Saccharomyces cerevisiae S288C: one gene and its partners. The protein of the gene in region 1 binds, or shares a complex with, the protein of each later gene. Each region holds a gene or a part of one and is shown on either strand. Other genes may lie near its edges.

What was found.
Region 2: PRP18 (region 1) and PRP6 share a complex: the UniProt entries of both Saccharomyces cerevisiae proteins name them as parts of the U4/U6-U5 tri-snRNP complex.
Region 3: PRP18 (region 1) and SNU13 share a complex: the UniProt entries of both Saccharomyces cerevisiae proteins name them as parts of the U4/U6-U5 tri-snRNP complex.
Region 4: PRP18 (region 1) and SMB1 share a complex: the UniProt entries of both Saccharomyces cerevisiae proteins name them as parts of the U4/U6-U5 tri-snRNP complex.

The regions. Positions count from the first base shown.
Region 1 is NC_001139.9:501,086-508,502, forward strand, and holds PRP18 (mRNA splicing protein PRP18), read left to right. Parts: upstream 1-4,984; coding exon 4,985-5,740; downstream 5,741-7,417. Other genes in the region: cullin CUL3, read left to right, coding at 1-1,281; PEX31 (peroxisome biogenesis protein), read left to right, coding at 1,853-3,241; transcription factor IIF subunit TFG2, read right to left, coding at 3,572-4,774; ECT1 (ethanolamine-phosphate cytidylyltransferase), read left to right, coding at 5,884-6,855; STF2 (ATPase-stabilizing factor family protein), read right to left, coding at 7,025-7,279. UniProt on the Saccharomyces cerevisiae protein: Component of the U4/U5/U6 snRNP, binding principally to the u5 snRNP. It is not absolutely required for the second step of pre-mRNA splicing at low temperatures but is required at higher temperatures.
Region 2 is NC_001134.8:342,595-352,307, reverse strand, and holds PRP6 (U4/U6-U5 snRNP complex subunit PRP6), read left to right. Parts: upstream 1-5,006; coding exon 5,007-7,706; downstream 7,707-9,713. Other genes in the region: MUM2 (Mum2p), read left to right, coding at 1-115; MNC1 (Mnc1p), read right to left, coding at 853-1,053; MRX18 (17-beta-hydroxysteroid dehydrogenase-like protein), read right to left, coding at 2,924-4,429; YRO2 (Yro2p), read right to left, coding at 8,173-9,207. UniProt on the Saccharomyces cerevisiae protein: Participates in pre-mRNA splicing. Part of the U4/U5/U6 tri-snRNP complex, one of the building blocks of the spliceosome.
Region 3 is NC_001137.3:98,726-106,231, forward strand, and holds SNU13 (RNA binding protein SNU13), read left to right. Parts: upstream 1-3,217; coding exon 3,218-3,598; downstream 3,599-7,506. Other genes in the region: YEL028W (uncharacterized protein), read left to right, coding at 1-404; VMA3 (H(+)-transporting V0 sector ATPase subunit c), read left to right, coding at 2,044-2,526; YEL025C (uncharacterized protein), read right to left, coding at 3,856-7,422. UniProt on the Saccharomyces cerevisiae protein: Common component of the spliceosome and rRNA processing machinery. In association with the spliceosomal U4/U6.U5 tri-snRNP particle, required for splicing of pre-mRNA.
Region 4 is NC_001137.3:212,087-219,825, reverse strand, and holds SMB1 (mRNA splicing protein SMB1), read left to right. Parts: upstream 1-6,648; coding exon 6,649-7,239; downstream 7,240-7,739. Other genes in the region: ZRG8 (Zrg8p), read left to right, coding at 1-1,769; FIR1 (Fir1p), read right to left, coding at 2,133-4,763; Rab family GTPase YPT31, read left to right, coding at 5,079-5,750; CHZ1 (Chz1p), read right to left, coding at 5,928-6,389. UniProt on the Saccharomyces cerevisiae protein: Plays a role in pre-mRNA splicing as a core component of the spliceosomal U1, U2, U4 and U5 small nuclear ribonucleoproteins (snRNPs), the building blocks of the spliceosome.

The DNA of each region.
Region 1 (7,417 bases):
AATGAAGGTAACCGCAAAAAAGGGCAGAATGCGATTACTTGGTCTTCGGAAATTGTAGAGCTATATCGCAGTCAACACTCGTTTTTGGAAAGTATTGATTTTGGTTCTGTTCGTCTTAATAATTTGACCGGGGATGTATCTAATGCAATACTTGGCGATGTTTTCTCAATGTATTTCTCTAAAGAAGGAGCATTACCATCTGAGTATCTTTCTACCTACGTGGACCATTGTATGAAACGAACCAAGGAAAAAGATGCTGAAATAGTGAAGATCAAGCAAGATTTGCTTGATAGTACCAAATTAATCGGACTCCTAACTGAGAAGGATATATTTGAAAAGATTTACAAAAAACAACTCTCCAGAAGATTACTGCAGCAGAGGTCTTTAGTGGAAATTGAAAAATGGATGGTGCAAATGATAAAGAAGGTTCTAGGAACTTTTTTTACCTCAAAATTGGAGATAATGCTGCGAGATATATCTTTATCCTCTGAAATGTATCAAGCATTCCAACACTCAACAATCAACAGCATAGAATATTTGAGTTTTGCACCACAAGTTTTGACGAGAACGAGCTGGCCCTTTCAGAGTACTAATCCAATTGATGAAGGTATTTCACTACCTCCTAGAATGTCACAAATTTTAGCTGGCTTTGAGGGCTATTACAGCTTAAAATACAAAGAAAGAGTGCTAAAGTGGGCTCATCATCTAAGTGTAATTGAAATTGGCTGCCAATTTAATAGCGGTTACTACGAAATAAGTTTTTCTGTTTACGCTGGAGTGATTTTCCTTCTATTTGAAGATTATGAAGAATTAACGTTGGGGGAAATATATGAACTAACTCATATTCCCATAGATGACGTTAAGTCTCTTGTAATGTCAATGTCGACAATACCCAGATGTAAGATTTTGAAAAAATCATCCAGTTCAGGAAATATGAAATTTTCAGTTAATTATTTCTTTTCTTCTCCAAACAGGAAAGTGAAAGTGCCGGTTATTGCATGCCCTCTACCATCTCAGAAATCAGATAATTTGGCAACCGCAAGTTCCGTGGACACTTATGATAATGAAATTGTTATGGAGCTTAGTGCTATTATTGTTCGTATCATGAAAACAGAAGGTAAGCTAAGCCATCAGCAATTACTTGAAAGAACTACGAAACGGACACAGTCTCGGCTCAGTCTTACACCGAGCATTTTGAAACGAAGCATTCAGCTTTTAATAGAGAAAGAATACATCCAGAGAAACGCAGATGACCCCTCTTATTACCATTACCTTTCCTAATTGCTTATAATGAAAATCACAGGTATAAGGTTTGCAGAATGCCAACAGTATATATAGATGGCAGTTCCTATCCGGCTGCCAGAGCGAACAATATTAAGAGGATATGCGTCGATACTAATTGAATGTTCATCCTGCATTCCTTAGTGAAACTTTCAAAATATATAATAACATAGTTATGGTAGACTATATATCCCAGTCAAACTTGAATGTAATGTGGAGTGGGTAATCGATATCTCTTGAAGTTTATTATGCCTCATTATATTTTTATAAAAAACTTCTAGGAATTTGTTGAGTCAAATAATTTCTTTCTTAATCATTAAGTAAGTTAAAGTTACGAGCCTTTCAGACCTGCGTAGCACTGCTTCAAAGGAACTATTATCAATAGCAGCGCCTTGCTCTTTTTTTTTTTTCAGATGCTTAGCGGCCGTATTTCACTTTTCCTGGTAGAAAAATATATGTTGAAATTTACGGTATAAGAGAAGCTCACCAAAATTATTATCAATAAAGCGGCACTTTTAAATTTGGTATTCTTCCCTGGTTGTCAAGCCTTGGTTTCCCTTTATTTGATAGTATGAGCGAAATAAATAATGAAAATCTAGAGCCAACCTCAAGTACAGTAGCTGAGTCTACAGAAAGCAAGAATAAACACATTCGTAGCGCTTTAAGAAAACGAAGAGGTAAATTAAGCGCCCAAACTTATGAGGAAGATCAAGAGGCTATTTTATCATCTCCTTTATTGACTTCAACACCTAAAACAGTCTCCAGGTCATTAGTGAGGTTATACCCATATTTAATTGTTGTGGATAACTTTCTAAGTATCATCACTTGGTCCAATGACAATGTCTCTGCAAACTTGCTTGGAATATTCTTATTTACGGTTTGTGTTCTATATTTTGGATTTATTACAAGGTATTTTGGACATTTAATGATCGTTGGTATAATATGGGTATATCTTTTAATTGACAAGCACGTTCAAGAAACAATGGCATCTTGCCCTTCATTGGATGATATAATACACGTTATGGATAGGGTTTCTATGAAATCTAGCGCTGTGTTATCTCCTATTACGATTTTGAGCGCTCAGGATGTTAGAAGACTGTTATTTACCATTGCCTTCCTATCCCCAGTTTATATTTTTCTAACAGTGTTTGTGCTATCTCCAAACTATTTAATGTTAATAGGGGGTCTGTATGTGCTTACGTACCATTCTAAACTAATCCGAAGAATGAGAAGATACTTGTGGAAATTTCGCGTTGTTAGATTACTTGTATTTTTCATAACAGGATTAGACCTTGGTGGACCAGATAATAATAGGCGCTTGTTTGCTTCTGTCAATAAGAAAATAAGGTCCTTTGTTTGGAATGAGGTAGGGAACACATCTAACACTAAAAAGACTGTACTTTTCAAGGTTGCTCTGTTTGAAAACCAGCGCCGCTGGCTTGGCATCGGATGGACATCAACTATGTTGAGTTATGAGCGCGCATCTTGGACAGATGAATTCCTAAATACTTCTCCAAGCCCAGAAGTGTTTACTTTACCAGAGGAGCAGTCGGGAATGGCTTGGGAATGGCACGATAAAGATTGGATGCTTGACCTAACAAATGATGGGATCATTCAACTTCCTGCTTCTGCTGCTAAGACAAAAGTTAAGCCAGGTGCAGATGAAGGTTTCATATATTATGATAACACCTGGAATAATCCCTCTGCAACGGACACATATAAAAAGTACACAAGAAGAAGGAGGTGGATCAGGACTGCAACAGTAACAACAACGTATGACGATGAGCCCACTGTAGAAAAAGCTACACCGAATTCTCATGCTCTGAAGAGTGAAGAAAATAATAGAGTTAGAAAAAGAAAAGTGTCATTTAGTACAGCAAATGAAGTGCATATCATACCTTCCTCGGACAGTAGCAAATTAATACAAATATCTGATGTTTCAATGTCTCCTTCTCTATAATGAGTGCATGCCCCATATGGACAACAACGTTCACACTGGTCGGTGCAAGGGCACACAGCAATCTCAGAGTTTCTTTCATTGGCTGCATGGAGCACAAATTCAATCTTGTGCTTTAAAGTATCTGCGCGGTTATGGCAAGTTCTCCATCAGTCTCTTATTCCAGCAAGCATTCTTTTACGGAACTTCAATGCATCTAAATACATATGTACAGATAGCCAAAACTAATAGAGACATAATAAATTAAACAAAACTGTAAATTTTAAAAAGAGTATATATAGGGCTCAAGAAACTGCGTAAATATAAAATTAATGAAGAAAATCTGATTGTCAACTAAACGACATCTTCCATTTCTATTTCATCTTCCAAGTCAGCCTCCGCGTCTCCTTGCGCATTGTCTCCAGCGGAACCTGTTTGCTCATCAGCTAGTTCACCTAAGGTTGCCTTTCTCTCCTCCTCTTTCAACTTTTTATACTCTGGCCTTAAAGTGTATTTGAATGCATATGGGCCCTTCTTCACTAGAGTGGCAACTTTATCCAAACACTCCTTTAAATGTGCTTCAGGTTGCCTAGTACGTTCCTTCAACCCCTTCAAGGACCAGTAGTCATACTCATCAAATAACTTGAACAAGTAATCCAAGATTTCCTTCTTTGGCATACGAATAGATTTAATATTGCTCTTGGCCTTCTCACGCCCCACTTTCAAGAAATTCGAGTTGTCTGACCTCATGGACATACCTGTGTGGCTCATCGTAACACCAACGGTTTCATCCAAAGTTGTGATCCTTTCCTTATTATTAAGCTTGACAATATTTCTTCTCTGTTCAACAATCTTGTGATAATTAGGATCATTCATTGATGGCATAACCTGACATTCGTGGCAAACTGTACCCACAATGGCGGTTTTTTTGGGAATCGTCTTCACATATGGTATATATCTATCTCTACCATCCCTATCTGTCATAACTCTGTGATTAAACTTTTTTCTATTATTTCTACGTTTTTGCTGCTGCTGCTTCTTCTTAAGTTCCTCTTCACGTTCTTGCTTCTTCAGGTAAGCTTGCCTTTGCTTTTCAGGATCTGCTTCCAACTCCTTTTTACGTTGTTGATATTTCTTTAAATTTTGTTCTGTGAAAACATATTCATTTTCTACTACTTTCTTTGTAAGTTCTAAATCATATTCGTGCGGTATAGAATCGTTATCATTTTCATTCAATAGAAGTGTGATTTTACTCCCATCCTTGTTTATCCTAATTTTACCCAGTTCTTGGCCATGCAAGTTGTTTCTGTCCCTCCATTTCTCTGCTAGAAACATGGGCAATCTAACTAACCAGACTTGTCTATTACTACGTTCCAAGTCCAAATCTAAGGATTCTTCATAAACTTTGGTTTCATTATTCTCAATATCATTACCGTCAAAAACTTCCTCCTCTTGCGAAAGATACTCATCACCGGAAATGTTACCTGATTTCTCCTTCGCGACAGAGTTCGTGGAATTATTAGAAAGTGCTGGTGCCCCTGCTGAACCACTGCTCATGGTGTTAAGTTGGTCTTCTATTTTACTCTTAATATTGCGTTATGCGTTGAAGCCAACAGCATATGTCTTATTCTTCTAATTTCAAGCCTGATAATTTATTCATTTCGCGCAAGGGAAGATGAAAAAGTTAAGAAGAGAATCGACCTTTGGAAAGGGCCCCAATGGAAAGAACTTCAATGTTTTTTCCTCTACAAGTAATAAGAGCATAAAATGGACCTAGATCTAGCCAGTATCTTAAAAGGTGAAATTTCTAAGAAGAAGAAAGAGCTGGCCAACTCTAAAGGTGTTCAGCCACCATGCACTGAGAAATTCCAGCCACATGAATCCGCAAACATAGACGAAACACCGCGACAGGTAGAACAAGAAAGTACAGATGAAGAAAACCTGTCAGACAATCAGAGTGACGATATTAGGACCACCATTAGCAAATTAGAAAATCGGCCAGAAAGGATACAAGAAGCGATAGCTCAAGACAAAACCATCTCTGTAATCATTGATCCATCACAAATTGGTTCTACTGAAGGAAAACCTCTTTTGTCAATGAAATGTAATTTATATATTCACGAAATATTATCTCGTTGGAAGGCGTCTTTGGAAGCTTATCATCCGGAGCTGTTCTTAGACACTAAAAAAGCACTCTTTCCACTCCTACTGCAACTACGAAGGAACCAGCTTGCCCCGGATTTACTTATTTCCCTTGCGACCGTTCTCTATCATTTACAACAACCTAAAGAAATAAATTTAGCCGTTCAGTCCTATATGAAACTCAGTATCGGCAATGTGGCCTGGCCTATTGGTGTTACTAGCGTAGGCATTCATGCTCGTAGTGCACATTCGAAAATTCAAGGAGGCCGGAATGCTGCTAACATAATGATTGATGAAAGAACGCGATTATGGATTACCAGTATTAAAAGATTAATAACTTTTGAAGAATGGTATACCAGCAACCACGATAGCTTAGCCTAATTGTTGAACTATTGTTTTCGTTATCGCGTGGCACGATATCATGCGGCCAAAATAAGAAGCAAGAATGCAGATGTTGATAGCCTTTGTTCAATTTTCCAGAGACAAATGCTTTACAGGATCGGGACTTGAAATATACTGACTGGATGACGGTAAACTTAGATCCGGATAAAGTTTGGATAGACGGCTGCTTTGATTTCACACATCATGGGCATGCGGGAGCCATTTTGCAGGCTCGTCGAACAGTTTCAAAAGAAAATGGTAAACTATTCTGTGGTGTGCATACCGATGAAGATATTCAGCATAACAAAGGAACACCAGTAATGAACTCTTCAGAAAGATATGAGCATACTAGATCAAATAGGTGGTGTTCGGAAGTGGTTGAAGCGGCGCCATATGTTACAGATCCCAATTGGATGGATAAATATCAGTGCCAATATGTTGTTCATGGTGATGATATCACCATAGATGCTAATGGAGAAGACTGCTATAAGTTGGTGAAAGAGATGGGGCGCTTCAAGGTAGTTAAAAGAACATATGGCGTAAGTACTACCGAGATTATACATAGAATATTGACGAAAAAATCTTTGCCACCGACTCATCCTGATTATTATCCCACCACCCAGGAATTGAGTTTCTATTCTGTCGCCCAAGATGCCGTTTCAAAACATTGTTATGTCTTTCAGAGGGATTTGGACAATGTCTTGGTCAATGGTGGATACAAATTCGATGCAGAAGATTGTGTTTATGTTGACGGGGATTTTGACTTATTCCATATGGGGGATATTGATCAGTTAAGAAAGCTGAAAATGGATCTTCACCCCGATAAGAAATTGATTGTTGGTATTACCACAAGCGATTACTCGAGTACCATTATGACGATGAAGGAACGCGTCTTGAGCGTTTTAAGTTGTAAATATGTTGATGCCGTTATTATCGATGCTGACGCCACCTCAATGTCTCAGTATAACTGCGAGAAGTATCATATTGGCACGGCTGTCCTCACTGCTGCCGGAAAATTCAGTGAATACTTGACTAAAGAGCTTATTGTGAAGAGGGTGGAATCGCAAAGGGAGGTTTACATTGCGAGGAACCAAAAAAAGGGAATGTCCATATAAACAAATGTTGAAAACTTCTTCGAACGTAAATTAAATGGATGTAAGAAAACTGTATTACATAAGTCATGAAGTAGGCATGCAAGTATATACCTATAGATGCATATAAATCAGTGGAGAAGGCCACTATCCTTCAGAGATCAAAAAACCTTTTTTTATCTTGAAAACGCCCTCATTCCTTTTGGACGTTTTCAAACTTTTGTTCATGCGATTGCAAATTTGAGCCTCTTCTATCTTTCTTGAACACTGGGGGTATTTCACCATTATCAATTAAGTCATCAATCTCATCGCCTGGCTTACCCCAATTACCCTTGCCGGAACCTTGCTTCTTGATGTGATTTGGAGATTCACCGTAGTTACCAGTGTGCGAAAAGTACTTTGGATCAGCCTTTCCTTCACGTTCGGTCCACTTGTTTGTTCTCGTCATTTTTTCTGATTGGTTGTACACTTGAGCGGTTTGTTACTGTTGATTGTTCGTTTATTTGTATAATTGAGTTTACACAACAATTGTTACAATAGTATGGGTAATTAGGGCCAAGAGAGTGACAAAAAGCAAACTTATAAA
Region 2 (9,713 bases), on another chromosome or scaffold:
CCAAATTGAACTGCAGTTGGCCAAAAAAGAAAATCTAGAATTAAGAGAAAAAATCGCATCTTTGGAAGCCCATTTGGCTTCAAAGGAGTCTTCAAAGGAGGACGTTGCTAATTGAAAGAGGTTTACTCATTATCGAGAACATATGGCTAATTCTAAAAAACGAAAAAGAATAATATGCAAATATATAGATATGTGTATATGATACAAGCTTTTTTCATGAAAAATAAACGGAAGAGAATTTTTGCTTTTGTCCTACACGAGGAATGTATCAAAGACTATTACTTTTTTAAGTATGTTGTCTTAGATGGCTGAGTTTTATGCTTTTTCCAAAAAGAGCAACGTAGCTGTTATTTATTTACTTAGTTATTACCTCCAGATAACGTGTCTAATCTCTTACCTCTATTTATAAAAATTATTCATTAAAATACTATTGAAAATTGGAGTATATACTTACAAACGTATATATTTTTTTAGAAGCATCAAGGCAAGATCAAAGCTATGCCGCTTTGTTCCTGATGTTCTCCATTTTTTGCTGGCTTCATTAACAAAGACGTACTTTTAATCCTAGAGGTTCATAAAAGTGAACAATCAGTGTGAACTTTTATGGATATTACATAATACATTTAACGGCATTCCATTTAACAATAAAATTCAAATGTGCTCAGCTGTGATTCATTGAAATGATAGGATACATATTATTCGTTATGCCACTCGCAAACGTACAGCGGAAAATTTTGTGTGTGTAAATTATCTTGATGGTAACCACCGGAAACAATATAGGAAGACTACTCCACGAAGAAAAGCGTTCATGATGATACAAGGCAAACCACAGCTTACAAGGCAAACCACAGCTTACATGCCGCCAGCGCAGCTACAACATAGATCAATTAGACACAGACAACATAAAACGTTCGCAATTGCTGAACAGCAATCGCCACAGTTACAACAACAACAACAATCATTTCTTGGTGGCGGCGGCCCTTGTTGTATGTATATAGGTTGCGGTTGTGGTTGATAATACATCGGTTGTGGTTGATAGTATTGATGTCTCATTGTGATGTCGCACTTTTTTTTTTTGATGATATTTCTCAAAGTACAAGGACCTAGACAAAATCAATTGTTCATCTAACAAAAAGTGTTGTTTTACTGATACTTTTATATATTATTGCTGAACAAGCATTTTTCGAGGCTGAAAAGATGCTAACCTAAAAATAAGACATTTTTGGCTTTGCGGCACTATAACGGATCATGTCACTTACAGAAACGCCAAGAAATTTCCCGTAAATTATTCACCACAGCATCGAGGTGGCTTATTTCTTTCTTAACTGATGCAGCACGGCTCAGCCCCATATCTGCGAGATCTCCATTCTAAGAGTGTCCGATAATTCATGAAAAAATATATAAAAATAAGGTCTTACCCGGATTCGAACCGGGGTTGTCCGGATCAAAACCGAAAGTGATAACCACTACACTATAAAACCCTTTTATTGATGGTATTTCTGACAATTTTTTAAATTGAGTGGTTTGAAAAATAATTGATCAATAGGAATTACCATTGAGAAATAGATGAATTTTGGAATAATTGTTGGAAGTACATCGTTTTTCAAACGCTATAATATTGTGAATACAAAAGACACTAGAATTACTCCACGCGAAGAATTCACAAAGAGAGTTGCTATTTCGACATTATAGCATTATTATTCTCCTTTCATTGTAGAAGTTGTCATCCAGCTTCCATTACATCCGTTGACTTTTTTTCAATCTTTATGTCATTCTCTTACACCTTATATGATAATATACTAGTAATATGAAAACTCGTCAATATTAGTATTTGAATTTCATTAGAACACAAAAGTGTATATCACCTTGATATTCCACTCACGAGCTACAGGTAGTAGATTGTTTAATGACTTGCTCAACAAAATAGCGTGAATTATCACTAAGTAAACAACGGCTCTTCTCACACCCTGAAAAACAAGTACTCGAGAGTCTGTGTTACTTGCCTCGCAATTGTTACCTAAGATGGACAATTACCGATGGATGACTTCATCATCTGTCACAGCCATCGCTTTTTGCGCTGCCATATAATACATGTTAACCGTACGCAACTCGGTGAACATAACCGTGGGGTTACTTTTGTTTGAGTAGTTAGATGTAGTGTCTTTCTTGATGGTATAAGCTACTATAATATTAGGAACGGCCGATACCTGGCGACAAAAGTTCAAAATACCCAACGGGCAGCTGGGCTTATGGAACAACGCAAAAACAATTTTCGGTCATTATATCAAAGTTTATGGCTATGAAACAACAATATGTGTGGCTGCATGTTTAGCCAATGACGCCTTTTTTATAACCCTGCCAAATCCCAACTTCAAGGCAGCTTAATACCTCCAATACATCTTTTGGGAGGTTGATTCAAACATTCACAGCAGAGTAGCTTATACGCTTATCAACTCATCTTTCCTCTGATTAAAAAGAGACTCTGGCTTGCTTTGTAATATTATTTATTTTGGCTCAAAGTTTTTACTTAATTTCCTCCATTATTGCTCTATTCGGAAATTTTTAATAACTCTCAAATGCTTAAAGATCGCCCATGTTACTTGAGTTTTTAATTTAAATAGTTCACCTTACTTGAATGTTCTATTGGGTAAAATAGAATGATTTGAAGATGGCAAATACTAAAAATATCATAGCGCTTCATCTTGATTACCATTATTCCGGTGCTTTTATGATATTGCGTATCAACTTCATTTAAAGAAAAACCTCATTTCAGCTGAAAGTAAAAGTATTGAGTACTCTACTGGCAGTAGCTGGATAATTGAAAACTTACGAAGTGCCGCCACAACAGCTTTTTTTTTATTTTCGACAGTAAACCAAAAGAATAGAAACGCCTATAGTTAGTATATATGTGTTTGTATATTTCTTAATACTTATTAAACTCATCTAACCCACGTTGGTAGCCTTGATCCCATTCCCACATAAATTCGCTATCTTTTTTGGCAGAAACGTATTCAGCTCTTCTTTGCGACTTCCATGAATGCCATCTACCAATTAATGAATTGTCAAATTTCCTAAAGGCAATTATATCATCAACAGCTGTCTTTATGCCATCCTCAAACCTCCAGTGTTCAAAATTTTTACCTTTACCGTTCCAATAAGCCTCGTGTTCATGGATTATTGAATCTATTTTCTTCTTGTCGACTTGTAAGTCATCACCGTGAGGACGTTTTGGTAAATTTCCTTTCTGCATCATGGGAGCTAAGCCCCATTCACCTCCATCACCGTATTCAAACTGCAAAGTCCAAAAAAACCAACCCCAACTAGCTACATGAGAAAATACATCTGCTTGGGTTTGTACGTATTTTTGAACAATAGCGTCTCTGTCGCCAGAAGTTTTATTCCAAGTTTGTCCATCAAGAACACCAGAAAATTCACCAACAGTATAATCGGCATCTTCATGAGGAAAATTCACAGTATTTGGCAAATCCTTGATAATGGAATTGGCATCCTTCGACTTATCAGAATCAGAAAAACAGCGGTAGACATGAGAATCAATGACCACTATTTCACTAAAATGTTTTTCTTTAACCCAGTCTGCCCATTGTTGGGGCCACCAACCATCGGATATTATGACAGGTAAACCTGGTTGAAGTTTTTCAACGGTATTAATGGCTTCTGAATAATAGAATTTTTGGCCCTTTGGGTTATTATCAAAACATGCCTCATTAACCACTTGAATACCAATGATGTTTTCGTTGCCCAGAGTCATTGTGTTAATAATTGCAGGTAAAATATCTTTGTAGACTTTGGTCATGTACTTTTCCTTGTGGAAAAACGCAGCTTCACCACTCTTCGAGCCACTGTGTGAGTCGCAATTAGCGCCTCCTGGTAGACCATGCAAATCTATCAATACACCAATGCTCATTTTCTTGGCATTATTGATTAATTCGCCAAGTTTTTCCCAAGGTTTGGCTAACTCATAAACTTTTCTCAATGGGGCAAATGGAAGCGAATCTAAATGCTTCCCATCTTCGACATGCCAATATCCAATTGGAATACGTAACGCTGTAATATGGGCATCTTTAGATAGCCATTCCCAGTCAATTCGATCAATGTACTTTTTATAGTGATCGCTTAACATTTTCGCAACGTCTTCAGAAGAATGCTTCTTCAATTGTTGGGAAATAGCATCAAATTCGCTATCATATTCTTTCCCATCGATTGTACAAATGGTTTCTTTAGAAAAAATCCATGGTTCGAGCACAAATAACGCACCCAAGTTTACACCATAATTGTAACGGTACTTGTAGATAGTTGATCTATCAAGGTCCTTTGCAGGGGGTAGTTTCGGTAGTGTTGTAGATAAATTTTGACCTCCCTTTTCAGAAACTTTGAAATGCTCAAATTTGTTTCTAAGTGAGCCAATCATTCTGTGCAGTTCAAAAGTTTTAATAAATTTTATAGATGGATAGAGAGTCTTTTTTAAAGCAACTCTTCCCAACAGAGTTCGAATTGAAGAAAAGAAAGTTATGTCTTAGTTCATCCATCCCCCCTAATTCCCTTCTTTTAAGCATTTTTTAAGCCATGATGGCAGAGAAAATGTATATTAAAAAAATATTACTGAAGGATGCGAGGTTCGAACTCGCGCGGACAACCGTCCAACAGATCTTAAGTCTGCCGCCTTAGACCACTCGGCCAACCCTCCGTATAAATGAATAGTTATTTTCAATAACCACACTTATATTAATTGTATTAATTGCAGCACTCTTTCTTTAGTAGCTCCTCCGGAGACCTTTATGAAATGATGGCGTTTCTTCTTTTAATAAATAATGTAACGAAAGTATTTTTAAAAGTCTTCTTTACCGTTGATAGAACCTTGGGCTAATTTAACCAGTACATTTATAGTGTGTCAGATTGTTCTATTAAGCAAAAAAAAACGAAAAATTTCAGAAAATATACGGGTGAGTTGACATAAAGAGTTTAACAGCAAGAAAACGTCACATTTTATGGAGAGGCCATCTTTTTTGGATCAAGAACCACCTGCAGGTTACGTACCAGGTATTGGTCGTGGAGCCACTGGATTTTCAACAAAAGAAAAGCAAGTGGTTAGTAATGATGACAAAGGAAGAAGAATACCGAAAAGGTACCGTGAAAATTTGAACAACCATCTTCAAAGCCAACCGAAAGATGATGAAGATGATGAAGCTGCAAATGTATTCAAAACGCTTGAATTGAAATTAGCACAAAAGAAAAAGAAAAGAGCTAATGAAAAGGATGATGACAATTCAGTTGATTCTTCAAACGTGAAACGGCAATTTGCCGATTTGAAAGAATCATTAGCTGCTGTAACGGAGAGTGAGTGGATGGATATTCCGGATGCCACAGATTTTACAAGAAGAAACAAGAGAAATAGAATTCAAGAGCAATTAAACAGAAAAACTTATGCTGCACCGGATTCGCTAATACCTGGGAATGTTGATTTAAATAAATTAACGGAAGAACGAGAAAAATTATTGCAATCTCAAATAGATGAGAATCTTGCACAATTAACGAAGAATGCAAGTAACCCTATACAGGTTAATAAACCGAACGCTGCTACCGATGCCCTAAGTTACTTAAAGGACTTAGAAAACGATAGAGTAAATTCTCTCTCAGACGCAACGTTAGAAGATTTACAGAAAATGCGCACAATTTTAAAGTCATACAGAAAGGCCGATCCAACAAATCCACAGGGTTGGATAGCTTCTGCCAGATTAGAAGAAAAGGCAAGAAAATTTTCAGTAGCAAAAAAAATAATAGAAAATGGTTGCCAAGAGTGCCCTCGAAGCTCCGATATTTGGCTAGAAAACATTAGACTACACGAATCTGATGTTCACTACTGTAAAACATTAGTGGCAACGGCAATAAATTTTAATCCAACGTCTCCGCTTCTTTGGTTCAAAGCTATTGATTTGGAAAGCACAACGGTTAACAAATATAGAGTAGTGAGAAAAGCACTGCAAGAGATTCCTCGAGATGAGGGCCTATGGAAGCTAGCTGTCAGTTTTGAAGCTGACAAAGCGCAAGTTATAAAAATGTTAGAGAAAGCCACACAATTTATTCCACAAAGTATGGATCTCTTGACTGCATATACTAATTTGCAAAGCTATCATAATGCTAAAATGACTTTGAATTCCTTCAGAAAAATCCTTCCGCAAGAACCGGAAATTTGGATTATCTCTACACTCTTGGAAGAACGAAATAACCCAGATATACCTGTAGATAAACTAGTTAGTTTGCTCAAGGAGGGTTTATTGGAACTCTCTAAAAATGGGTACAAAGCGACCTTGTCAGCATGGTTGAAACGTGCAGAGGCTCTAAATGATGCGCCCAATTCAAATTTAACCTGTCAAGCCATCGTTTACGCTATATTAGAATGGTTAAGAGAAAGTGGCGAGTATGAGTCTGAGTTGAATAATGTTGATCAGATATTAGAAAAAATGCCACACTCAAAGGTACAAATTGCTGTCTTAAAAAAGCTTATTCAGTGGGATCCTTGTGATACAGTTCTTTGGTCTAGACTGAAAATGGCCACTGAAAGCTACCATAAAATTGAAGAGTTATTAGCATTTTTCCAGGAGCTGCTATTTCAGACCAAGAATAGTGATGATATACGAGCAAATATGAGGGAGAAAAGCCCTGGCTTGTTAATGATGTATGTAAGCGAATATTGGAAGGCCCAAAAAGGGGATACTAGGCAAACACTAGTTTTGATTGACCAGATTATAGATTTCGCCCCGCATAATTTGGATTTACGCTTTTTCAAGATAAAGTTATTAGGTCGTTCACTACAACTTGATGAATTACGAGATTTTTTTCAGCAAACTTTCTCCTCTTTAGAGGATTTTAAGATCAGTGGCACGGAAAGATTATATTATAAATACGTAAACTTTCTGCGGTACCAAGATCTGAATGAAGAGGCTATAAAATTCTTGAATGAGAGATGTTTGAAATCATTTCCCATCTGCCACAAATTTTTTTTACAGCTGGGTCAAATTTATCATTCCATGGGCAATATTGAAATGAGTAGAGAAACCTATTTGTCTGGTACAAGGTTAGTGCCCAATTGCCCTTTATTATGGGTTTCCCTATCAAAGATTGACGAGATTGATCTAAAAAATCCAGTAAGGGCAAGATCAATTTTAGATAGAGGATTGTTAAAAAATCCTGACGATGTATTATTTTACATTGCTAAAATCCAAATGGAAATAAGACTTGGTAACTTAGATCAGGCGGAGTTACTCGTCACACAGGCATTGCAAAAGTTTCCAAGCAATGCTTTACTTTGGGTGGAGCAAATCAAGCTGTTTAAGCATGGAAACAAAAGTTCGTTAAAAAAAACAATTTTTCAAGATGCTTTAAGAAGGACACAAAACGATCATCGCGTTCTTTTGGAGATTGGAGTATCCTTTTATGCAGAAGCGCAATATGAAACATCATTAAAATGGTTAGAAAGAGCTCTGAAAAAGTGCTCGCGTTACGGAGATACATGGGTTTGGCTATTTAGGACATATGCAAGGTTAGGCAAGGATACTGTTGATCTCTACAATATGTTCGATCAATGTGAGCCTACTTACGGACCCGAATGGATAGCCGCCTCCAAGAACGTAAAAATGCAATACTGCACACCTAGAGAGATTTTATTGCGCTTGATGAATGACAAATAAAGTAATTCTATCTTGCGTTGTTTTCTACTTAGCCTGCGCGTATATTTATATGTATGTATGTATGTATACACATAATTGATAGAAGCGATGCTCAAAAAAAAAGTTAAAGAAAAGAATTAGATTTAATTAAGATTATAAGTAGTGCTTCATAGGTATTAAGACAACAAATGGTCTTTCTTACAAACGTAAAAATTTGAAGCAAAATGATGTATGTGTTTAAGGAATTTATTCGTATTTTTTTAATGAAAAAAAAATTTAAAAACAGTGCATATTTATTTGTGGCCTTTGGTCGCTACAATCCAATCCCATCTTCTTTCATGTATTAACACTTCATCGTTGCGCGTTATAATGCAGAAGATAAAAAAAGGATCGAAGTGTTTCTTTTCCAGCGAAGTTTCGGTCTCAAATAATAATACGTCAGGAAAAAGAAGGAAAAAAACATTGCTACATCAGCAGATCAAAGCATTTACTCAGAGTCGGTGGCTACATCCTCCTCCTCTTCTTGGGCTTTCTTGGCCTTCTTGGCCTTCTTAGCCTTCTTAGCCTTCTTCTTGTCCTTCTTGTGCTTCTTCTTTAGCTTTAACTTCTCCTTGATACTAGAGTCAGAATCAGATGACTTGAAAGAAGCTGGAGATGGCATCTTCTTTTCAGCAACTGGACCAACATGTTCAGCGGGTTCTTCGTCGAAGATTAAACCTAATCTTTCAATCCCCAAATAGTTAGCCAATGGCATGAAAAGAACTGGCAAGATAGATAGGATCAACAAATCAATAATACCATAGAAAATGGTAGCAGAATCTGGTTGCAAAACGTTACCACCATCTGTGATACCAAAACAGGTTGGGTAAGCAATCAGCCACAAAAACATGATGACACTCATGAAAGTAATGAAAACGTTAGAGACATCCTTACCTCTGGCCTTGACCAGGTTGAATGTAGTTGTCATCAAACTAATACAAACAACAATGGCAGCACCAATACCAATGGTGTAGTAACCCCATTTGTAAGTAGAGTGGACACAGGCAGCAATCAACCAGCAGACAGTAAATATTTCAGTCATACCAACATTGAAAGCAATTTGCCATAATGGAGTACCACCAAGTAGAGACATTTGAATAATTGGCCATGGGAAAGCCAAAAACCAGCCAACGTATCTAGCGTAAAAAATTTGTCTGTAACCTGGGTGCTCCTTTTGGGTAGAAGTTTGTACATGGTTGTACTTTGCTCTGACTGGGATCCAACCCAAGTTAGAAGCCATGGTGAAATAAGCAATTGACATGAACAAATTTGGAGCAATGGCCGTATAATATACGAATCTGTCCTTAACTGGTTTTCTAAACATTAGTGGGACTAAAATCACACCGAATAGTAGGTTAACACAAAAAACGGTGAAAAGCCAGTCTGAACCACGAGATGTAATGTGGAAATCAGCACCGGTTGGTGGATTAATTTTGATGGCTTCGTTACCACCTCTTTTCAATAGTTCAACATAATCAGACATTTTGATGCTTTTTTTAAAAAATAGTGTCACTTTAAGTTATCAGGAAAATTAGAAGATTTTTAAAATTAAATATTAATAATTAAAGAATTAGTGGTTAAACGTTATTAGATTGTTTGGAATTAAAAGAAAAAAATTCTAGATTGATTAAAAATAACCAGAATAAGCTATTAGTTTTGAGTAAAAAAGGGTTTTTAGAAAAAAAATTATGGTAAGTTCTTAGGACTTCTTGTCTATGTTAAAGTATCCAAAGATAAATAGATAGTTTTTTTCGGGTTGGAATATTACTGTTATTTGCTGACACAATCTTGACACTTGATTATATAATCGTAAATGAGAAAAGGTTAATAACAAATATCGAAGAAAACAAGAGAAGAAAAGGGCGGAAAACCATAACTAACACACTGTCTTACATGTAAACCGAATAAGTTCGGTTCTTTATATATCTTTTCGGTAAGCTTCCAGTAATTGAAAGGATCATGAATAAGCAACAACCCGATGAGGAATCA
Region 3 (7,506 bases), on another chromosome or scaffold:
GTGCGGGCACACTACTTCATAATGGTGCAAATTTGCCCTCATTACGTGATAACACCACTCTAACTGATGCTCGTAATGTGTTAAAGTACTTACAAGTGCTTGGTTTTCCAAGCAACAAAATAGCGGCTACAGATACTGTTGGAACTTTTATCATATTTAGCAATCGTACGGAAGCTAACACTACCGCTATGACGAAGACAGTGTCATACTGTTATCGTAACTACGGGCATAGTTTCTACTTCACTCATTACAAATACGACTATTTTCCTAGCGGGATTAGTTATATGGCAAAACTTGGCGATGCCACCGTCAACCATACGGACTTACCTCACTTTAGGAACAACAAACGGCTAACAACGCAAGAACTCAATGCCTTCCAACATCCAATTGTCGAGTTTCAGTAAGTACTCAGGTATTACGTTATGTACATGTATGATAATTCTGATTAACATCTTTTATACACAAAGATGTATGCATGAATGGTGCAAATATCTCGACGATGCGCAGTAAAGAAAGCAATTTACTACTAACGTCTAGCGATATCATAGATGATGACAGGATAACGATATAGGTTAGATGGATATTGGAGTAATTGTCAAGTCCCATTTTGATTGAAGACAACATTATTAGGCCTACAGAGTTGCTAAAATTCTCCACTAGGTCACAGGAGTTCGCAAAAGAGAATCAACAATCTACATAACCATGCACACATTTCTTCGTCCTCTACGTTATAATTTACTGCTCTAAAAGCGTCACTTCTCCTTTCATTTTATGTTTTATTGTTCATTATCCTACTGCGTTATCAATCCTTACATTTCGGCTTCCACTAAATTTAATGACTGCTTCTCATCATTTCATGTCTTCTAACGCCGTATATAATAATATCCCAGCAAAATATAACTGTTAGTTAGTGAATCATAACCGACTGTTACTCCTGCAATATCCATGGGAGAAATCACCATCGGAAGGTAAACTAACACGTAGGTATTGATTCTACCGGAAATGAACAAATGTCGTACTGCCCAAATGAGCCAAATGCCATCATATACGCCTTCATAACTATATTTGAAAAATACCTTTGCCTAAAAGACGAGTGGTATTGGAAACTTCAATTAGTGTTCAAAAATGTCCAGTGAGAGGATGAAGTTGTCGTGGTTGAAACAGCATAAACCACCTAAAATAGTATCAACTGACAACAACTGTGGAACACATGCGGTTACTTTTATAATTAACCGCAAAATACCTGAAATGAGCTAAGAAATAGTAATTATAAACATGCCACTACAAGTAACAGATTAAGTGATATGTTGGCGGACCTCAATATAAGCGACATGGAGAGATAGAGATAGAAGAATTTGTTATTGTGTTAATAAATAAAGTTAACATCCAGTTCTTTCAAGTTGGCTAAGCGCCGTGGCGCAGTGGAAGCGCGCAGGGCTCATAACCCTGATGTCCTCGGATCGAAACCGAGCGGCGCTAATTTTTCATTTCTTTTTGCCCGCAACAATAACACAGATCGCAATCATTTAAGCTATAGACTATAAGCTTTAACTTCTGCGTTATTATTAATAATTGTTATTGTTTTAGTTAGGTATTTCTATCAACTTATTTTATATATTCTATATTACAGTTTTCTTTTTTTACAAATTCACCCAGCAATTATTTATTATTAATTGTACATCTTCTTTAATAATGAATTTATTATTGCACAATATTCAACTTAGGAAAGATAGAGGAACTGAATTCTTTATCAGCAATGAAATAGGCCGTCTACGGCCGTCTACGGCCTATTCCATTGCTAAAAATTTGAATCGTATAAAGGGATATTACCCGGAAAAGAAACGCATTAAAAAAAAAAAAAAAAAAAAAACAGAAAAAGTGGTTAAGTGATTGACTGACCCTTGATAGTTTTGTACAATTATACACTCGTTCTGATTAAAAACTTGTTTATAAAAATCTTTTTAAAAGAAAGAGAAGATCGTGTTTATTGCTTTTCTCAAAAAGACTAATCAATTAGAATAACAAAAGAAACATATACATATAATGACTGAATTGTGTCCTGTCTACGCCCCTTTCTTTGGTGCCATTGGTTGTGCCTCTGCAATTATCTTCACCTCATTAGGTGCTGCTTACGGTACTGCTAAGTCTGGTGTTGGTATCTGTGCCACTTGTGTGTTGAGACCAGACCTATTATTCAAGAACATTGTTCCTGTTATTATGGCTGGTATCATTGCCATTTACGGTTTAGTTGTTTCCGTTTTGGTTTGTTATTCGTTGGGTCAAAAGCAAGCTTTGTACACCGGTTTCATCCAATTGGGTGCCGGTCTATCAGTCGGTTTGAGTGGTCTAGCTGCTGGTTTCGCTATTGGTATTGTCGGTGATGCAGGTGTTAGAGGTTCCTCTCAACAACCAAGATTATTCGTCGGTATGATTTTGATTTTGATTTTTGCTGAAGTTTTGGGTCTATACGGTTTGATTGTTGCTTTGTTGTTGAACTCCAGGGCTACTCAAGATGTTGTCTGTTAAGGCAGCTTCTGAATCACTAAAGCAGGAATAGAGTATACAAAAGAATCTTTTTGTGAGAAACTATGAAAACTATCAAAATTTTTCATCTTAGAGATTGTTTATAGCCCCTATTCTTACTTCATATCCAAACTACCTCATTTCAAGCTTCCTTTTTATTAGTACCATTATTATTGTTTAAAAGAGTATTACACGCTAAATATGTATATCTTAATTTTTAATGTGTATAAAATAGAAAATTTGAATATCAAGGAGCAACAAAGAGCATTATGCGTTTTAAGCTACACAATGGGTACGATGAGATCACTATACCTGTACTCTTAAAAGAGGCCCAACCTTATCAACTTCTATTGTTAAAGTAGACAATTGTATCGTTTCTTTTTCTTATCGGTTTTATCCGGGTAATAAATTCAGCATATAGAAAAATTTTTCATTTCTATTTTCTTTTTCTTTTCATTTTTCCTTTTTCTCAGAAAATTTTTTTTTCTAATGCTGGAATGAGATGAGTTAGAAAATTTTTCACTTTAAAACTGATTATTCTGGTTAATAGTGCTTATTCCTCTTAGTGTTCAAGTCCTACTTTCAAATCTTAATTTAAATCATCATTCGAGCGAGCTTTCTATACCAGGACCATACTGATTATTGCAAGGAACTTGAATAAACCAGATTTCATACTATAAAAACTATATTAAAAATGTCTGCCCCAAACCCAAAGGCTTTCCCATTAGCCGATGCTGCATTAACCCAACAAATCTTGGATGTCGTTCAACAGGCTGCTAACTTGAGACAATTGAAGAAAGGTGCCAACGAAGCTACCAAAACTTTGAACCGTGGTATCTCCGAATTCATCATTATGGCTGCTGACTGTGAACCTATTGAAATCCTATTGCATTTACCATTACTATGTGAAGACAAGAATGTTCCATATGTCTTTGTTCCATCTAGAGTTGCTTTAGGTAGAGCTTGTGGTGTTTCTAGACCAGTTATTGCTGCTTCTATTACCACCAACGATGCTTCTGCTATCAAGACCCAAATCTACGCTGTCAAGGACAAGATTGAAACTTTATTAATTTAAGTAGATTGGATTATATCTATCAACATAGTTTTTGTACCATCTATATACTATAAAAAAGTTTTTTGCTTTCCACTAGTGCAGACGCTAATAGTGCTGTTTTGTTAGTGGTATGATATATGTCATATCTTCATTGAATAACCTACTCGAGTGCATCTGTAAATGCACAAACATGTATTATCAATTGAGCTGTAGTAATTTAGGCATAACAAAAAGGTGCAAGATCTCATGGCACCTATTCGTTCGTAGGAGATTTATTGTCACCTTTTTAGTTTTACAGGATCGAAAAAATCTATGGTCTTGTATGGTGAATGATCTATATGTCTTCTCTTTGAATTTCTAGCTAGCTCATCAAAGCCGCTTTCATTTATTCCAGTCTCTTTACTCACGGAATATTGTTTAGTAACATTTCGCATGCTTTTCTCAGACCTTCGAAAAGCTCTTTTACATTCGAGCTTGATCTTTTTGTAATCATGCAACGTTCTCATCCACAGCTCACCAATGAATTCCGATATTATATAAATTTGGCCCTCAGTACCGCAAAGTAAAAATAGAGGTATGACGCCTTCCAACCTTTGACTATTGAAATTTGGACATATTTGAAGGTTTTGAAATCCATCTGGGATGGCCGCCAGTGAGATTATCTTATTAGGTAACCGAATTTTGAGGTATGGCATAGCCAACCCGCCCTTATCAACTGATAATTTAGAATCTTCGTATATTGTCAAGGTATTATCAATACCAATGGTGGCAACATAAGATCTATTGGAATATTTCAACGTTGCACAAGAAAGGTCTGATAATCGACCTAATAGATAGTTCTTATCACTCGCTAAACAATCGTTTTTAGGTTCTCTTAGCTTCTTAGGAATTATTTTAGTCGCCACTTGTGTAATGCTTCCCAACCGCTTAAAACCCAAGTAGGGACATTCAGGGTACTCTGATGGATATACTATGGACGTCCTAATTGGAAAGCGGGTTCTCAAAAAATCTCTCAAGATCTCAAATTGAACCAGATAATCACCACTCATATAAGCTGGAAGACCTATATGGTTAATCGATGAAAGTGCTGGGAAGGAATAGGCCTCTAAAATTTCCGCGCCCTCTTTTAGCATGTTTATTTTATATGCTGCTATGCCACTATCACCAGAAAATAAAACCAAGTTGCACTCATAGTATATGAACACCGAGAATATACAATCTTCGAGATAATTCGCGTACAATTGGGTAATGTTATTGTTTCTAATTTCAAACAGCCAGAATTTTGTACGTTTTTCACCAACTCCTAAGCATACAACAAACTTATTACCATAAAAGGGTCTCTGTGATAAGTAGATTGAGTTTTGTTCTGGCCACAGTGGCTTCACAACGGCATGTAAATACTTTTCATCCGAGAAACTGAATGTGGAAACTGCCTTCATTGAAGCATAATTGAATAGCATCAACTTATACTGCCTACTATTGCTATCGACCAAACACACCACGGCCTGATTGAGGTTATTTGGAACAGTATAGAGCTCTACGGGAATGCTAGGGAGGTAAAAGATATGATTTTCTAATTGAGGTTTTAATGAAGTCATCTGCTTAGTGAAACCTTCACGGTAAAACGTGCTACCAAACTCAAAGATGCTTATTCGAGAATCATAATCTAAAACACAAAGAGAGAACAGTGCTTTACCGGGTCGAATTCTCATTCGTCTTGGAACTAAGCCTAACTGTATGCAACCATAAGACATGTTTTGAAGATTTAACAAAATTATTTCCTTATCGTTGTAAAGGAAAACCAAAGGTAAGGAAGGAATCGTATCCAACAGTTCTAATTTCTGATCGTATAACGAATGAATCTCTAAATCCACTCTCAAAAAATTTGATTCTGATTTGTAGACTCTTACGCAGCCAGTGTATGATGATGCGATGACATAAATCGAGTCGTGTTTATGCTTTTTGCTTAGCCAAGATATTTTTATCAATTGATCATAGGCTATGAAAGAATAGTCTGGATGTGATGTAGCCACTTTCTTTTGATTGGCATTCCATACCGAAAACACACCGTCCAAGTAAATGACAAAAAGGTATTTCTCGGCACCATCTGAGAAACAGCTCACAATACTCTCTTTAGAATTGAGCCCATGGATAAAAAATTCTTCTTTTTTACGTAGAAAACCAGATTTTGCCTCAAGTATCGAAATCCTGAGCTTGGAGTTCTGTACGGGATAACAAAACATGGTGGAAGAGTTGTGGTTCGACTGCAAGAAATCGACCTGCCTAAATTCTCCGGTAGAACCATCCATACCGGCTTTCAAAACTTTTCCCGTCCTAGAAACAAATAGACCGTAATCATAAGGCTCATCCATTAAAAATATTCCGTTCTTATAAATCAACCCACCTGATTCATATGCAAATTCGTCACCACCATTAAGTGCTAAATCTGTAACCCAAAAATCAGTTACATTCTCTACTAGCGCTTTGGAGGAAGTCACTAACTTGAACAGGGTTTTGTCATATACCAAAATTTTCTTTTCTAAAAATCCTCTTCTTGAGTTAAAACTTCCACCCAAAAGCAGTGAATCAATATCTGTCCCCTTGTTTCCAATAACTTGTGATGCCAGGTAAACTTTGTTTGTATAAGCGGGACCGCTTTTCACCTTTTCTAATTTTGAACCTCGATGATCTTTCGATATAAAATTTACTCCATTTATTCTTGTCACCGCTATATACTTTTCACGTGGGAGCTGCAAAATAACATCGCATAGATCATGTTTAGGAGGCTTGAACACTCTTTCTTTTGTCCATTGTAGTTCTTTCAGGACGTGGTCTCTATGTAACGACCTAGTGTGTATCTTGGCAGTGTATTTGTTAGCATACACGTCAGAAATTGTCAAGAGAATGACTGATCTTTCATATATCACATCATAAGAATCTTTTAGAAATTGGTAGTTTTCTACATTTGGGAGACCTTTATTATTGAAAAAAGCCCCGTTTGTAAGCCCACTTGCTTTTATATTTATTATTTGAGTGTAGTTAGTAGTCAACACTACAATGGTATGGCCGCAAACTACCTTCATATAACAAAATTCATTATCACATATCGGCAAAAGATTGTATTGGCGGTACTCGTTTAAATCAAATTTCCTACTTCCATGCTTTCCAGCAAGATTGTATTCCTTTAAAAACAGGTTTTCACTATAGCAACTCTTAAGTAGGCAAAGAAAATAAACGTGTGATTTACCTGTGCATGTGGCGTCGTCAAGCAAATCCTCCCTGCTAATAAAATCAAAGGAGATAATTTCTTCGCCATCGGTGGCATAAAATCTTTCGACTATTCCTTCTCTGAAGTCAAAGGAGTAAATTGTCGTACATAACGTATGCAAATCACTATCATATGATATGTTTTTATTGCAAGTGTATAAAACACCCTCAAAGGAAGCATTTAACCAGCTGGAAGTTAATAAAGAAATAGTATCCAGTTTCGGAGCCACATTAGAGTCGTAGATAATTTCAAATTTGTTATTTTCGCATTTGAATCCCTTAATGGAACCGTCGTTAAACATTAGCAGGTGACAGAAGGAAGCTGACATGAACATCGGTACAGTTGCGTAGTTAACAACGAACGGTCCATCTAAAGCGAACTCAACCTTCGCTTTCAATTCGTTGGACGTTCCGGTATACAATCCATAGCTAAAACATAAAAAGTAACTTCCTTCGTGATGAAGACAACTTACCAGCTTCTCAGCCTCATCTTTTGATCTATAAGATGTTATGCATAAAGGTAAAAAGGCCGAATTGCTATCCAATTTTTTGCAGTCCGTTTCATCTTGTCTTGCCATTTTACGTGGCAATGGCTAGTGCAATATGCAATGCGCTAACGCTGACATTATAACACAATATATTTTTCTACCCTCCCTTTCGCT
Region 4 (7,739 bases), on another chromosome or scaffold:
ACTTTGATGACGATATGAATTGTATAGAAGATGATGAGAGTGGTAATGAGGGAAACGAAATATGCGGTTTATCGACTCGATTCGAAGAAACATCCTTGAAAAGCAATAAAGTCAAAAAGTTCAATGATCTTTTTAACTTGAGCGATGATGATGAGGAGGAGGATGGTAAAGATAACAGTAACAATGGAGATGAAAATGAGAGTGATAATCTTTATCAAAAACGATTAGAAAACGGGAAAGAAACTTTTAATGGTAACCATGGCGGACACCATGATGATGCATCTCTTGGAGAAACGGTTGACAACAAAGAGCAGTTTCTAATAAACGATAATGTCAAGAAGCCTATTCAAAAATACAATGACCTTTTCGATTTGTCTGATGAGGACGATAACGACGACAAAGAGATGTCAGAAGCTGAGTCTTATATGTTTTCCGATGAAGCTCCTAGTATAGAAAGTGGACCAGCAAATGCAAAATCAACACGGGGGATCTATAGTCAATCTAACAAAAATATCATACGTGATGGAAAGCCGAACTATAGTTTCTCTCTCAAAAGGAATAATTCGGATGATGAAACGGAGCACACTTCTGCAATAAAGGCTTCCCTTACAGGTACTACTGGCTCTACCAAGCCTACAGTAAAGTCGTTTTCAGATATATTTAATGTTGATGATAGTGCAAGTGACGCTGAAAGTGATTCTGGGACAGGAGGGAACAATTCTAACGGCTTAGTATCCAATGATTCAGAAAGGCAGGTCTCCCTGCAAAGTTCTTTGTATGAAACCAAATCAGAATCCCATCCTCCCAATCATCCTCATTCGCAGATTCTTCAAACACCGGCTAAGATTGTAATAACTCCAAGCGTTTCTGATGCGCAATCACAAGCCCTTGCAATCACCGATGATGATGGTGAAGATGATGATGATGACACTAGTAGCATACTAAGAACTCCGTTTCAACTTATTGATTCCTCTCATTCACAGCAGCCGCACTATGCGAGCCCACAGTATACGGCTGTACTCAATAGCCCCCCTCTTCCGCCGCCAGCTAGGTCTCAATCACTAAAATATCATGACTTAAATTGCGATTTAGATTCAGAAGTCCCCAGACCAATGAGTAATCTCTTTTTCATTGATGAAGCTGAGGAAGACGAATACAATCAGAAAAGTAAGTTTTTTGATTTCGACCACTACGACATCGATGAAATTAATGGCATTCCAGAGGATTTTAACTTCTCTGATTCTGAAAGAGATGATCTTAATCGTCGTACACTGAAATCTCCTTTACGGGGCGGCTCCAAGAATAGAGAAGTCTCTCCTTTTTCATCTGTGTCATCGTCTTTCAGAAGTACGCATAGTTTTAATGGGAAATTAACGATCAACCAAGGGGCTAAAGAATTAGCTCCGATGAAAAATAAGATTGAACTTACAAACAAGACTGTCACCTTCTTTAACAGTAATAATTGGAATACTTATGACTGCAATTCACTCTCCCGAAAAACTTCATCCCAAATGAGAGATAGTAAATATCAAAATCATAATGTTGGTCAAAACGTAGAACCTTCAAGTGTTCTTTCGCCACAACATCAAATATCGAATGGTTTAGATGGAAAATGCAATGATAACTACGTAATCTCACCAAATTTACCGACAACTATCACACCAACTAATTCATTTACTAAACCCACACCGGAGTTCTCAAATGACTACTCATTAAGCCCTATTCAGGAGACACCATCTTCTGTTCAAAGCTCGCCAAAGAGAGCGTGAGAAAATACTGCATGTTTTTTATGCCCGTAGCCTCCACATTTCTTCCCTAGTAGGTGACTAGCTTTAAAACCTTTGCGTAATGTTCGTATTTGTAATCAATTGCATGTGCCAAGGATGATCTTTGGTAGATATAAAAGTACATATTATTAATTTGTTTTACAGAATTGGCATGTCTGAATATAGTTTTTTTAAGAAAGTACAAAAACTAGAAGTTTTTCTTACATGTAAGAGATATGAAATTTTGTAATGTCCGATGAAAAAATAAAATAGGCAATAAGCAAATTGCCATTCCGATAAATCTTCATGCGATGAGCTGGTCAAATCTGTTTACCAGAACAATTTGTAGGGTTGTTTTTTTTTTTTTTATTTTAGTTTGCGATGAGATGGAATGTCGTTATGAATACTGGACTGATACTTGTTCGGGATCAAAGAATTCCCTTTTTCATCATACAGTGGAAAAGGCAACGGCGGAAGTACTCTTGATTTTTTTGGCTTTGTTTGTTGTCCTTTTTCTGAGAATTTATGCTTCTCATTTACCAGTTGATAAATAATTCTTTTTGCATCATCTGCAGTTTTATCACACATGCCCAAAATTTCGTTGCAATGGCTTAGACGTTTCTTCTGTTGCTCATTTTTAGCTTTTTGAGCATGGCAGACTCTTGTTCGTGATATATCGTTATTTTTGAGGCCTACATCTTCATCCTCATCTAAAAGAATAACCTCAACCATTTTACCATCTCTTTTTTCGTAAATGGTATTAAAATCCAAATCGTGTCTATTTGAAGGAGTATTCTTATTCCTGGGGAACGAATAGTTGTTCTTCTGGGATGGAGGACCATGACCTAAATTTTTAATTGATCGTTTTTCTTCTATAAAGTTATGTTCTAAAGTTGACCTGTTAATGGTCACAGAAGGTTGAGATGTTGTATCCGTAATGGCAGTATTGGAAGAAAACTCAGAATTGTAGGAAGATTTACTACTACCCGATTGTGACGATTGGCTATTGGAAGATAAAACACTAAATGGAATTGAATGCGGATTCACACAGTTTCTTTGTTTACCAATTAAGTCTGTAGGAGTTTGGTTCAAAGGAGTTGGTTCCTTGTTTTGAATTTCTTGACCAAATGAATTGAATGAAGATAGCGGTTTGAATGGCTCTATCGATGGAACACTTTTTGTTTCACTAATTATTGCAATAGAATGGTCAGCAACTTCAGTAGAAAAAGCTTCGTTTTCATCCTCTGGGCATTCAATAAGTGATGGTGATGGTTCTCTTGTATGAGAGATACTTTCATCTGGTATAATTTGAATCGAAGGTACCGAGATTTCTTGGAGGAAGGACCCATTTTTAGGTGATTGAGCTTCAGGAGGAATATCAGATGTTTTTGGAGATGACGTGAACCGTAAGGGTGATCTCTTAGGTATTTCAATGGAAGTACATGGGTTAGAATGTTCAACAGGAATTGAGGGAGCAGAGGTCGGAGCTGGTGGTGTGGAGGTTGCCTCGAAATTTAAGGAAATGTCATCAATATTATGAACGCTCCTGCTTCTCCTATGTTTATGTATCCTCGGATTATTATTCGTCGGAGATTTTTGCAAGTCTATTAACATCTGTCTTCTGGATTCAAATGATTGATTCACAGGCGAAGTATCAACTTTCAGGAAATCTTCATTGTTCGTGTCTCCAGAGTTTCTATTTTCATGTACCTTATCCACATTATTGTTAGTAGTACTGGAGGGAAATTTGAATGACATATCGAGTTTGTCCAGTGATTCAGGGTTAACTTGGCGAGTTGGAGAAGTTGGCTCCTCGCTAGGTTCAAACTGCTGGAAAAATTTTAATGTCCCATTTAAACCTGTGCTTGGTGGGGATTTCATGTGCTCTAAGTCGGGGATGTCTATCAGTTTATTTGGTGTTGACAGAATTTTTAACGAAACATTTTTTTCAGTGTTTTTTTCCTCACATTCCCTATCTGTTTTACTCTTAATATGTTGTGGGTTTTTGAGATTTCTCCTTTGTATCTTCAGATTGACGTTGGCGTTCTCATCAATTCCAAGAAGCTTATCAGCATCTGCATTATTTAACTCGAAAGACACATCATGGTGGGCATATGGAATAGAATCATCTTCATCTGAATACGACGATGAGGGCTGTTCTAGAGAAGATTCAGTTGACGATGAGGTGTTACCTTCTTGAAACTGGCTATAGCCATCCCCATCGTAAACCAAGCTACTCCTCTTTTTATCCTTGTTTTGCGGAGATAAGTAGGGCGGCAGAGATATTTCTAATGGAACTGGTAAATGATATCTGTTCAATGGCGATTCAGGAGTGAGATATAAATTCTTTTCGGGAGTTAAGGGAGGAGGCCTGTCAAATGATAAATTCAGCGGAGATACTTGGCTAATATTACTAGTATTCTCATTAATACTGGTCTCAACCTCGGTTGCACGATATGTGTTCATTGTATCCACAATGATCGACTGTAATGATTTTGATCTAGAATGGTTTGGTTCTTTTCCACTACTACTTGTGTTGGACCTAACATCAGAACGAGTTTTACGGTGCCTGCTTTCACATTTTTTTCTCCTGTTATGATGAAACTTCCAAACTTCTTTAGGGACATCGACCAGTATTTTAGAGTGCATGTCGACTAAATGACCATGGCTATTCATAAGTAATGATGAAGTAGACATTCTTCTTTCGGTTTCATTTCCACTCTTGGGGAATACAATTTTCAGTGGGGAGTCCTGTGATATTTCATTTGGATCTGGAATGGAAAATCGAACCTGCGATTGTGTATGCTCATGGGGTTTCTTGTTCTTGCTCGATCTCTGTCGCGGTATAGCAACACTCTCTATATTATTAGTTCTATTAATGGCTAGTAAGTTTTCGCGTGGGCACAACACATCACGGCATTGATCATGGTCCATCTCATGTTGTATCGATAATGTACTGCACACTTTGCTCTTGACAGGTGTAACAGGGAGGCTCATAATCGGAAAAAAAGCTTCAGATCTATCCCAGCGCAATCTAATTGCACTAATTAGGTAGTAGTCTTGCTGTAAGTATGTTGTATTGTTGTTCCTAGGCGTCAATTCTACTGTTGTTATGTTTGGGCTCGTTTGTTGTTTGTTTACCATTTTCCAATGCGGAATATCACAGGCCGCTGCGGTGTGCGGGTGCTAAATTAGAGAAAGAGGGAAACTCAAAACTTTTCAAGAAAGAAACGAATAACAATTTGACCTTTATTACAAGGCACTTTGTTTAGGCCAGCAAAGGGATTCTGACGGCGTCTGGGGATTTCAACAATGAGCAGCGAGGACTACGGGTATGATTACGACCTACTATTTAAAATTGTACTGATCGGTGATTCCGGGGTAGGGAAATCCAATCTATTGTCAAGATTTACGAAGAACGAATTCAATATGGATTCAAAGTCTACAATTGGGGTTGAGTTTGCCACCAGAACTTTGGAAATTGATGGCAAGAGGATCAAGGCGCAGATTTGGGATACTGCGGGCCAGGAACGTTACAGAGCCATTACTTCTGCTTATTATAGAGGAGCTGTAGGTGCCTTGATCGTTTACGATATCAGTAAATCAAGCTCATATGAAAATTGTAATCATTGGTTATCAGAATTAAGAGAAAATGCAGATGACAACGTCGCAGTGGGGCTTATCGGTAACAAGTCTGATTTGGCCCATTTACGTGCTGTACCTACGGAGGAGTCCAAGACTTTTGCACAGGAAAATCAGTTATTATTCACAGAAACAAGTGCTTTGAACAGTGAAAACGTGGATAAGGCTTTTGAAGAGTTAATCAATACCATCTATCAAAAGGTCAGCAAGCATCAAATGGACCTTGGTGACTCCAGTGCCAACGGGAATGCCAATGGTGCGTCCGCTCCTAATGGACCAACGATTAGTCTGACACCAACACCAAACGAAAACAAAAAGGCAAATGGAAATAACTGTTGTTAAGAGATATTTTGCAGCAGTTGCGCACTTGCATGTGAATGACTCTTCTCCCCTTTAATTCTGTGCTATATTTTTACAATTTTCTGCTGACATATAGTTTATATACATATAGAACGCATATAGGAAATTGAAGTAAACAGAATACACAAGTAGAGGCCGGTATGTACGACATTTTGCTTACTACTCTTTAAAATCATCGTCTTCTTCGTCTTCATCGTCTTCTTCTTTTTCACCATATCCTACATCATCTTTAGAGCCTGTGCTAGGTTCCTTCTTGTCTAATTCTTCTGCAGTCTTTTTATAGTCAATTACTTTGCCGCGTGTTCTTCTTCCGGATGTGATGATATTAGAGGTATCAATTTCTGCCAAATCGTCCTCTTCTTCTTCTCCCTCATTTCCCATCAATGCGTCTAACTTGGCATCGTCCATATCAGATTCAGAATCTTCAACAGTACCATTATTTTCGCTCTTCGTCAAACCATTTTTAGCCTTAGTCTCCTCTTTTGCTACTTCAGCGTCATAATCGTCATAGTTTCTTCTTCTTCTTCTCTTTGGCTTAGGTTCCACAGACTTTTCGGATTTATTATGACTTGATTCCTTTTGGCTTTCTAATTCACGCTTTTCCTTTGCTTCGTCAGACATTATTTCTCTCTTTCCTTCCATGTATTGAATTTTACTTACCAGGTGTGTTCCCCAATTAACCACCCACCGAGCTTCCTTATTTCTCCATGTTCTTGTTTTTCTCACGATAATGTGGGAAAAAATTCAAAATAAAAATTATGAAAATAAAAAATGAAATTTAAAGAAGCCTATGCTAGTTAGAAATGAACAAGACAGGGAAAAAAGTAGAAGGGGTAACAGAACCATCCGTATAACAGGTTTCCAGTAAAGTAAATAACTAATGAGCAAAATACAGGTGGCACATAGCAGCCGACTAGCCAACCTTATTGATTATAAGCTGAGGGTTCTCACTCAAGATGGCCGCGTTTACATCGGGCAATTGATGGCATTTGATAAACATATGAATTTAGTGTTGAATGAGTGTATAGAAGAGAGGGTACCCAAAACTCAACTAGATAAATTAAGACCGAGAAAAGATTCAAAAGATGGAACCACTTTGAACATCAAGGTAGAAAAAAGAGTGTTGGGACTGACTATACTAAGAGGAGAACAGATCTTATCCACAGTGGTGGAGGATAAGCCGCTACTATCCAAGAAGGAAAGACTAGTGAGAGATAAAAAGGAAAAGAAACAAGCGCAAAAGCAGACGAAACTAAGAAAAGAGAAAGAGAAAAAGCCGGGAAAGATCGCTAAACCTAACACGGCCAATGCGAAGCATACTAGTAGCAATTCTAGGGAGATTGCCCAACCATCGTCGAGCAGATACAATGGTGGCAACGATAATATCGGCGCAAATAGGTCGAGGTTTAATAATGAAGCGCCCCCTCAAACAAGGAAGTTTCAGCCCCCACCAGGTTTTAAAAGAAAATAAGGTTGATGTAGTGTAGTCTAATATAGTTTCCGTATACTTTTTTTGTGTACGCATGTGTGTTAATAGGGAAATTCATAATTAACTTAAGGAAGCATTTTTTTACTATTTTTTCATTACCTAAACATAATTTTAATTTTAATCCCTGTGTGGGATTTTAGGGTGTACGAGATATGTAAGTTATGAGCATATTTTTCCTTAGTTGACGAATAACCTTTAAGTCCTAGGAGGTTCAATATGCAATTGCATGCTATTATGCAACTCAATTGCTCAAGGGGCTATTCAGGTTTACATAATACGGATGAAAAAGATAAAGATCTCGGAAAAACTGAAAGGCACTCTTCGGAAAAACCTCTTTTATGGGGGGTGTTCTGGGGCAGAAACCAAAACGGCGGAACGCGTCCGGAAAAACATACATAGACCACACCGTAGAAATTACTTCCTTGGAGACCCCACCAAAAAATCCTTCACTAATTTTTCCGTGTATAAATGATTTAGCTCCC